Danio rerio: one gene and its partner. The protein of the gene in region 2 binds, or shares a complex with, the protein of the main gene of each other region. Links are inferred from orthologs where the notes say so. Each region holds a gene or a part of one and is shown on either strand. Other genes may lie near its edges.

Region 1 (3,757 bases), on a different chromosome or scaffold from region 2:
CAAACCGAAAAGAAAATGAATGAATAGATGAATAACTAACGTTAACAAATGGGGGTGGTGCGGTGGCACAGTGGCTAGCAATGTCACTTCACAGCAAGAAGGTCACTGATTCGAGCCCTGGCTAGCTAAGTTGGCATTTCTGTGTGGTGTTTGCATGTTTTTTAATGTAAGCGTAGGTTTCCTCCAGGTGCTGTAGTTCCCTCCACAGTCCAATAACATTGCTATGGGTGAATTGAATTAATTAAAACTAAATTGGCCATAGTGTATGTGTGTAAATAAGAGTGTATGGGAGTTTCTTAGTGATAGGTTGCCGCTGGAAGGTCATCCACTGAGTAAAAAATATGCTGGATAATTTAGCAGTTCATTCCACTGTGGCGACCTGTGATTAAAAAAGGGACCAAGCCGAAAAGAAAATGAACGAATGAATTAACGTTAACAAATATGAATACATATTGTAATAAATGCATTGGTCGTTGCTTGTTCATGTTAGTAAATACATTAACTACTATTACCTAATTCAACCTTATTGTAAAGTCTAACCAAATATTATAGCAAATTCCACAAGCAATTTTTAAGATCAGACTCCTTCACCAAACCACATAATGTATAAACTGTACTATATACTGTATATACAACAGCTCTAAAAGCTATTTACACCAAACCACATGTAAAAATGTATAAACTGTACTATACTATACAACTAAATGTATCATCAACACCACTGCCTCAAACACAGTTTGAAACCAAGTGCCAAATGTATCTAGACCTTTCAGAATGAACCAAGGTCATGTCTCATTAGCACACAAAAGCATCGTTCACAAGCTATGTACATTCCGTTAACATTCAGTGGATTCTTTCATTAAGATAAATACCACTTGGTTTGATATTTCATTACATAATGTAGTGGCATTTATATACACTGACTTGATACATAAGAGTCTAAACGCCTTTTGGGGCAACTGCAGCTTGAAAATCGAATTCACCAATATCTTTCTCTGCTGCCATTTCAGAGAAAGAGGCATGCCCGTTTCGCAAATATCCTCCGGGAACATCTCAGGAGGGGTTTTCTCCGGCTAGGTGCCACTGGTCAAAGTTTTCCTAATGCTATTGGTCTATAAATCAGCCCTGTTCTCTGCCATACATCAAATGCGGCTGTTGCAAAGCGATGGAGGAACAGGGGGGAGCCAGGGGAGAGTAGAATGGAGGTGTGCGGGTGCCAAAGCGATCATGTGTTCCCCGCAAGCAGCAGGAGGAGAGCCGTGAAGCCAAACAGAGAGAAAAAGATGAGCCAGGAAAGGCAGATGTGCCTGTGTCATGTCTGTTATGAACAGTCTTCCCACCTTGTGGTAACACTGTGAACTGTAACTGCAGGAGAGCGTGATCGAGAAATAGAGAGAGGGAGCGAGTGGAGGGTGGGGTGGGGGTAAAGAGAGATAGAGAGAGTGAGAGAGAGGGAGTGAGTGTGAGGAAGGGAGGGAGCAAGGAAGGAGAGAAAGAGAAAGGGTTGAGGGATGGAGAGAGAGAGAGAGGAGTTTAAACTAAGAGCTATGTTTTGGGACGAACTAATCTGCTAGAGAGCAGTGTGAGGATCGGAACGCATTGTGCGAGCGAGTGTGTGGAGGACAGATAAGGGAAGAAGCCCGGCAGACCGACTGCTTGTTTTAATGTGCTGACTCTGGGGAGCTAAAAAAAAAAAATATTGACTCTTCAGTCGTGCGGCGTGAGCCAGGGCACAAGCGCCACATTTAACAAGAGGTGCACCAGAAAACACGGGCGCAAGAGAGGAGAGAATACATCCAGCCAGACAGCACATATAGAGGATTTCTCCTTCCTTTTCTTCTTTTTTTTAATCTGTTCATTTTTCTTTCTTTTTTTATTTCTCGGGACTGATTCCCATTTCCAGTAAAGAAAAAGGAGCCGTAGAGCCAGGAGAACGCCAAAAAGAAAGCCCCGCAACAAAGCGACAAGAAACGAAACACCACCAACAAGATGTTTGAAATCAGCCGAACACTGAACGCTGCTTTGTTGAGCAATGAGGTAAAGGAATCGGATTTTCTTCTTCTTCTTCTGTCACCTCACTTCTCTAAGTGTGTGTTCATTATTACGTTGTGCGTAACGTTTCTATGTTTGATCATGCTTCTAAATGTGGCAGGTCTAAATGAATGTGCAGGGATTGAGCATTTAGGTCCAGTTAAACGGCTGCTAGCTGAAGGCAGAACCTCTTTGCTCTCCGGGCGTACTGTAATGGATGAGAGACTAGACTCGCTCTCTCTCTCTCCCTCTCCCACGCACAATCATTTCATTTTCTCATTTACTCAAAGCAAGATAGCTGTAACTGCTGAGCTTGCTTGATGACTTGCCCATCTGGGGCTTGCACTGACTGTGTGTGTGTCTGTTTGTGTGTGTGTGTGCAGGGTAAATGTGAACGTAAGCACTCGGCTCTTTATCACTGTGGCAGTTCAGTTTTCTCTTTTCCTTTCGCCACTTGCTTTTTCTTTAGCCTGTATATTTGGTTACCACCTTGGCTAGCATTCTGTTCTTCTCCTCTTCTCTTCTTTTCTCCTCTTCCCTGTAAACGCGCACCTCGCGAGCAGTGTCTGAAGATGATGGTAAGGTGTTCACAGAACTCGGCAGCAGCCCAGGCGGAAGGCTCCTTCCCAGGCATGGGCTCGCTGCTTTTCCCCCGAGATCCATCCAGCCAACTGGGGGCCAGGGCACTGGGGGTAAGAGGATAGACTGATGAACGAGAAAAATAGATGGCACAGTAGAACACTAACTTCATTTAGGTAAATGTGTGCAGCCCTAAGGCTTGAATTAGCCGATGTTTTCATGCCTCATTGTGTGATGATACGGCCGCCCACTAAGACTAGATCTTTCTATCAGTTAGCCAGAGAGAAATAGAAAGTGAGACAGATTGCGAGAGAAAAAGCAGCTTGTGCAAGTGTATTGTTTGTGTATTCCTGCTCAGAATGTGTTTGTGCCGTGGTGTACTGATGCCTGAAATTGAAAGTGCGCCGCGTGTGTATGTGAGTGCGTATGCTTTAAGTCATTTGAGCATAGTGCGTTTAGATGGCTAAAGGACAGATTTTTTTGCACGTTCATTTTGTTTCGGGTGTCATTTGGAATTTTAAACAACTTTCTGAATGTGTGGTGCTGTGCAAAACATATGCCTGGATATTAACAGTCAGTTACAAGACTAGCTCAACTTAAACAATATGCCAGTGGCTCTGCTGTGTTTCTTCTTTAATTTGTAGCATCAAAAATAAAACTTCAGTTTCATTTCTCCACTGATAGGTGGCCTAACTTGCAGATAAATAGCTGGCTAAGGCTTTTCCTGATTATAATGAATGTGTTTTCACTTAAGTCTGGAGCTCTGATAGTGGGTATTCATCCTTATGTTCTCATTCAGTCATTTTTGATCTTCTACTACAGTCTTGGGGGGGAAGAGAGATGGCTGTATGGGAAAGCCCTGGCTGGCTGGCTGGTGCTGTAAGCGCCGGTCGGTTAAGAATAAATCCCTGACTTGGTGCATTAAATCGACACGAAACTGTGGGTGTCTAATCTGTGATGGGCTCTCGTTCCTCGTCTCCACAAAACAGGATCAGCCTGCCTGCCTGGAGCCGCACCACATTCTCACACAAATCAGACTCATACTGACAGCACTGGAGCTCCTCTGCCAGTGAAAAAACACACACACACATACACTGCGATCGCATGCAGCTGGATGGTTTTAGGCAGAGAGAGCAGGTTTTTAAAC
Region 2 (3,657 bases):
TGAACATGGCATCTTTTGCCTACTCCTTGCTGCCAGAGACTTGACAGTGCTTCTCACAAATCTGAACCACATTTGGCTTTAGAGCGGAAGCAGTTGAGACCCTCAGTATGGCTTGCGGGAACTCACTCAAAACTTCCATTCCCTCACCTAAAAAAAAGGCGTATATATGTATAAATAAAACACCCCCACCCCACTCCAGTCACATCAGTTTGTACCAGTCTGTATCTACCTATAATATATATAAGATGCAGGCTATAGCTAGGTAGGTGGCAGGATGCAGATAGGTAGCTAAGTGGCAGGCAGGGGCGGGAACAGCTTACCTTGGTTCTGGCCGGCGCGAGTTCCCTCCTACACTGACGTCACAGCTCTCTCTCCCCGCTCCGCTGATTCTGTCAGTGTACAGCGGTCGGCGCGGGCCACAAAATATTGCACTGAGGGCCGCAAATGGCCCGCGGGCCGCGAGTTTGAGACCCCTGATTTAAAGGATTAGTTCAACCAAAAATAAAAATGATTAATTCGTTCCAATCCCATTGGACTTTCATTCATCTTCAAAACACAATTTAAGATGCTTTAGATTGAGTTCTGAGAGCTTTCAGACCGTCTTTAAAAACCAAGAGTTGTGAGATTTTCAAATTTCAGAAAAGAAACCAAAAGCATTACATATGACTTCACTGGTTCGACTGTAAATATATGAAGCTACAAGAACACGTGTGCTAAATAAAACTGTAAACATGACATTTACCAATGTTTTTTTTTTTTTTTACTTTGTTAGTTAGTCAGGGTGCATGTTTAATAAGGAGATATGTGTTTTATGATATGGAGATGAGTAAAGTCAGCAGTGCTACACGCAAGCATTGTTTTGCATGCAATAAACATGCACTGGGGACTTGACATGGCTGAAGAGGACATAAATGAGTTTTCATTTCAATGAACTTACCCTTTAATAAAAGTAGTGTTCAGATTTAGTTAAACTCATAATTTTTATATACATTTGTATATTTTAGGATTGTAATGTATGTCAGAATAAAACAAAATGATTGAGAAATATAGACGTTAGGGCTTAGTGTTTTGCTTTAATTATTGTGCATCATCGATAGAGTTGACCAGTTACAAGTTTTTTTGTAAAGATTAACATGCTTTGAGAATACTCAACTAGTGATATTAATGGTCATGACTTTGATTTATTTAATTTGACCATTTCCTTTTTACTTAACGGATAATTTGCATTTAATGCGTGTTCGTTAATGTACATACTCATATCCTTTTATTACATTTTAAATATAAAGATCAAGCATATGAACTGACTGCAATATTTCAAGATAGTGTACCACTAATTGACCACTAAACCTTCCAGATTGATAGAGTGGTTTTATTTTTATGAAGAGTATCATCCAGTGATTCTAGAAAGTGTCTTAATATAACACCTCCATATCTAATTTTCAGCACATGCTGATTCAAGGGCAATGATTTAAGATGTCTTGACCAAACAGTCAGCAGTCCTTTGATTCCGTATGGGAAGCTATTGGTTTGAAACTGCAAACTATTCTAAAATAATATTCTTTTGTATTTATACATTTTTTACAGAGAATTGTTCATTAAATACTAATATGCACAGGTGAATGGGGTCAGTGATTGTGTACTTGTATTTTGAAATGTTTGGCTTAAATTTGCTTGCTATAAGGTCTAGTTTGTGTCCTCCCTAATTCTGTAGAATATCTTCAGTCCTTCAAATAAGCAATTTTTTTTTTACATTGAGCTGTGGTATTCAGTGCATTTGTTCAATTAAGATTTTCTAGTTATTTGAAGCCCTGAAAAGAATTAGCTGTTTTTTTATTTTTTATTTTTTTTTATTACTTGTGCAAGTCATTAGGGGTTGCTTACTAAATGAGGCACATAGCTTTTTTTCTTACTATTTTTTAGTTTTTTTATTCTTATTATTGTTTTGATCTTTTAGGGAACTGTTGCAAACAAGTTCTACGTACACAATGATATCTTCCGGTACCAGGATGAAGTGTTTGGGGACTCTGACTCAGAACCTCCTGAGGGTAAACCGCTGATATATTGTGGTATTTCTAGCATATTTGGAGTAATCTGTCTCCCAATTGCTCTCGCTGTGAGCAGATGAGTTCATTCATCTCCTGTTGTTCACAGAATCTGAGGAGGATGTGGAGGAGCTGGAGCGAGTGCACTCACCTGAGGTGGTCCAAGAGGAGTCTTCTGGGTATTACGAACAGACACCATGGTAATTTGTATTGAGTTTTGCAGCTCATTTAATCGTTCAGTTTGGCAACCATTCGAAAGGCAGGGTACAAATCATGCAGGTGTGTCAAGTCAAAACAAAATACACTCAAGTTTTGTCATTAACCTTAGTAAGCCCAAGTTACTGCAGGTTTAAATGTTTCTATTGGAATACTAGACTTTACAAGGTCTTCAAGGTGTTCAAAGCCTTTCTGGAATATCGGAGTTTTAAAAGGTGTATTCCAGAGGGTGAAAATCAGTGATGATGCCAATTCTAATTAAAGAGTTAATGACTTTGATTGGCAGAAAACTTTCTAATAATATGCATCAATGGTTGATTAATTTCTTGTTTTGCTGTAAAAAGGTACACATTTAAACCTCTTTTTCATAAAATTGTACCTCCACTATTAGTCTGTTTTATATAATTAGAACAATGAGATGATGACACTACCTTTTATCATATAAAGCGTACTACATGTTTTATAAATGAAATATTCTAGAAGGTCAAAATAAATAGCATTTAATTTTATCAACAACAGGATTATATTATTATTACAGCACTATATTAAAATGGAGCATTCAGTACAAAGATGGCCTTCCAATAAGCTTTGGCTGTATGTGTTTCTTTAATGTCATATGTCACGCACTGTTGTGCTTTGTCAACTTTCACACAGTGGATAAGTGCTTTATATATGCAGATCTAATGCAATTTAATATAAAACTATGCAGAATGTATTTAAACCATGTCCTTGCTGGCTAGATGATATCTGCTGCAGCTCTTATAGAGCTTCAAAGCAAGCTACTCTAAAATATCCGTCATTTATTTAGCATTAAATTCAGTTATTACCTAATCCCTAAAATCTGCAGGGAAACAACAGCTGCATCTTTTTCTATTCATTATAAGTAATGGATATCAGCTTTTTAATCAGGGAACTTGGCATTTTAGTTTAGAGTGGGAACCCTCTCTTAAGTATGATGCACATTTGAAAAACCGGTAAAGATTTGCTGAGTTGTGTCTTAATACACATTTGTGCAATTACAGTGTAGAGCCTGAGGTGCCCCAGGAAGAGGTGTCTGTAACCCCAGAGCCCCAGCCTGAACCAGAAGTGGAGGTGGAGCCGGAGCCAGCAGCTGTGGAGCTGAAAGCAGAGCCCATCAGCCAGCCTGAGGTTCATGTTGAGGAAAAGACTCAGAGATCTCCCCCATCGCCCACACCTGCTGACACCGCACCCACCATGCCAGAGGACAACCGGGTAAGACCACCCTCATTAATCACTGTCTTTTAGGTCCCTCTTGTCAACATGACCTGTACAGTCATTGCAGAAAGGACAAGAAAGGTCACCTGTAAAGTCAGATGCTTCTTGTTTTCAGCCATCTTCATGGGCTTCAGTCACTAGCAAGAATCTTCCACCTGGAGGA

Evidence for each region. Proteins that work in one complex are often made in the same cells at the same time.
Region 1: g3bp1 (region 2) and elavl4 share a complex: the UniProt entries of both Homo sapiens proteins name them as parts of the TAU mRNP complex. The link is inferred for Danio rerio from reciprocal best matches to the Homo sapiens genes G3BP1 and ELAVL4.

Annotation. Positions count from the first base shown.
Region 1 is NC_133183.1:17,770,497-17,774,253, forward strand, and holds the start of elavl4 (ELAV-like protein 4), read left to right. Parts: upstream 1-1,509; 5' UTR 1,510-1,989; coding exon 1,990-2,037; exon of another isoform or gene 2,038-2,594; coding exon of another isoform or gene 2,595-2,723; intron 2,724-3,757. UniProt on the Homo sapiens protein: RNA-binding protein that is involved in the post-transcriptional regulation of mRNAs. Plays a role in the regulation of mRNA stability, alternative splicing and translation.
Region 2 is NC_133189.1:30,202,942-30,206,598, reverse strand, and holds part of g3bp1 (ras GTPase-activating protein-binding protein 1), read left to right. Parts: intron 1-1,954; coding exon 1,955-2,045; intron 2,046-2,151; coding exon 2,152-2,242; intron 2,243-3,280; coding exon 3,281-3,491; intron 3,492-3,609; coding exon 3,610-3,657. UniProt on the Homo sapiens protein: Protein involved in various processes, such as stress granule formation and innate immunity. Plays an essential role in stress granule formation.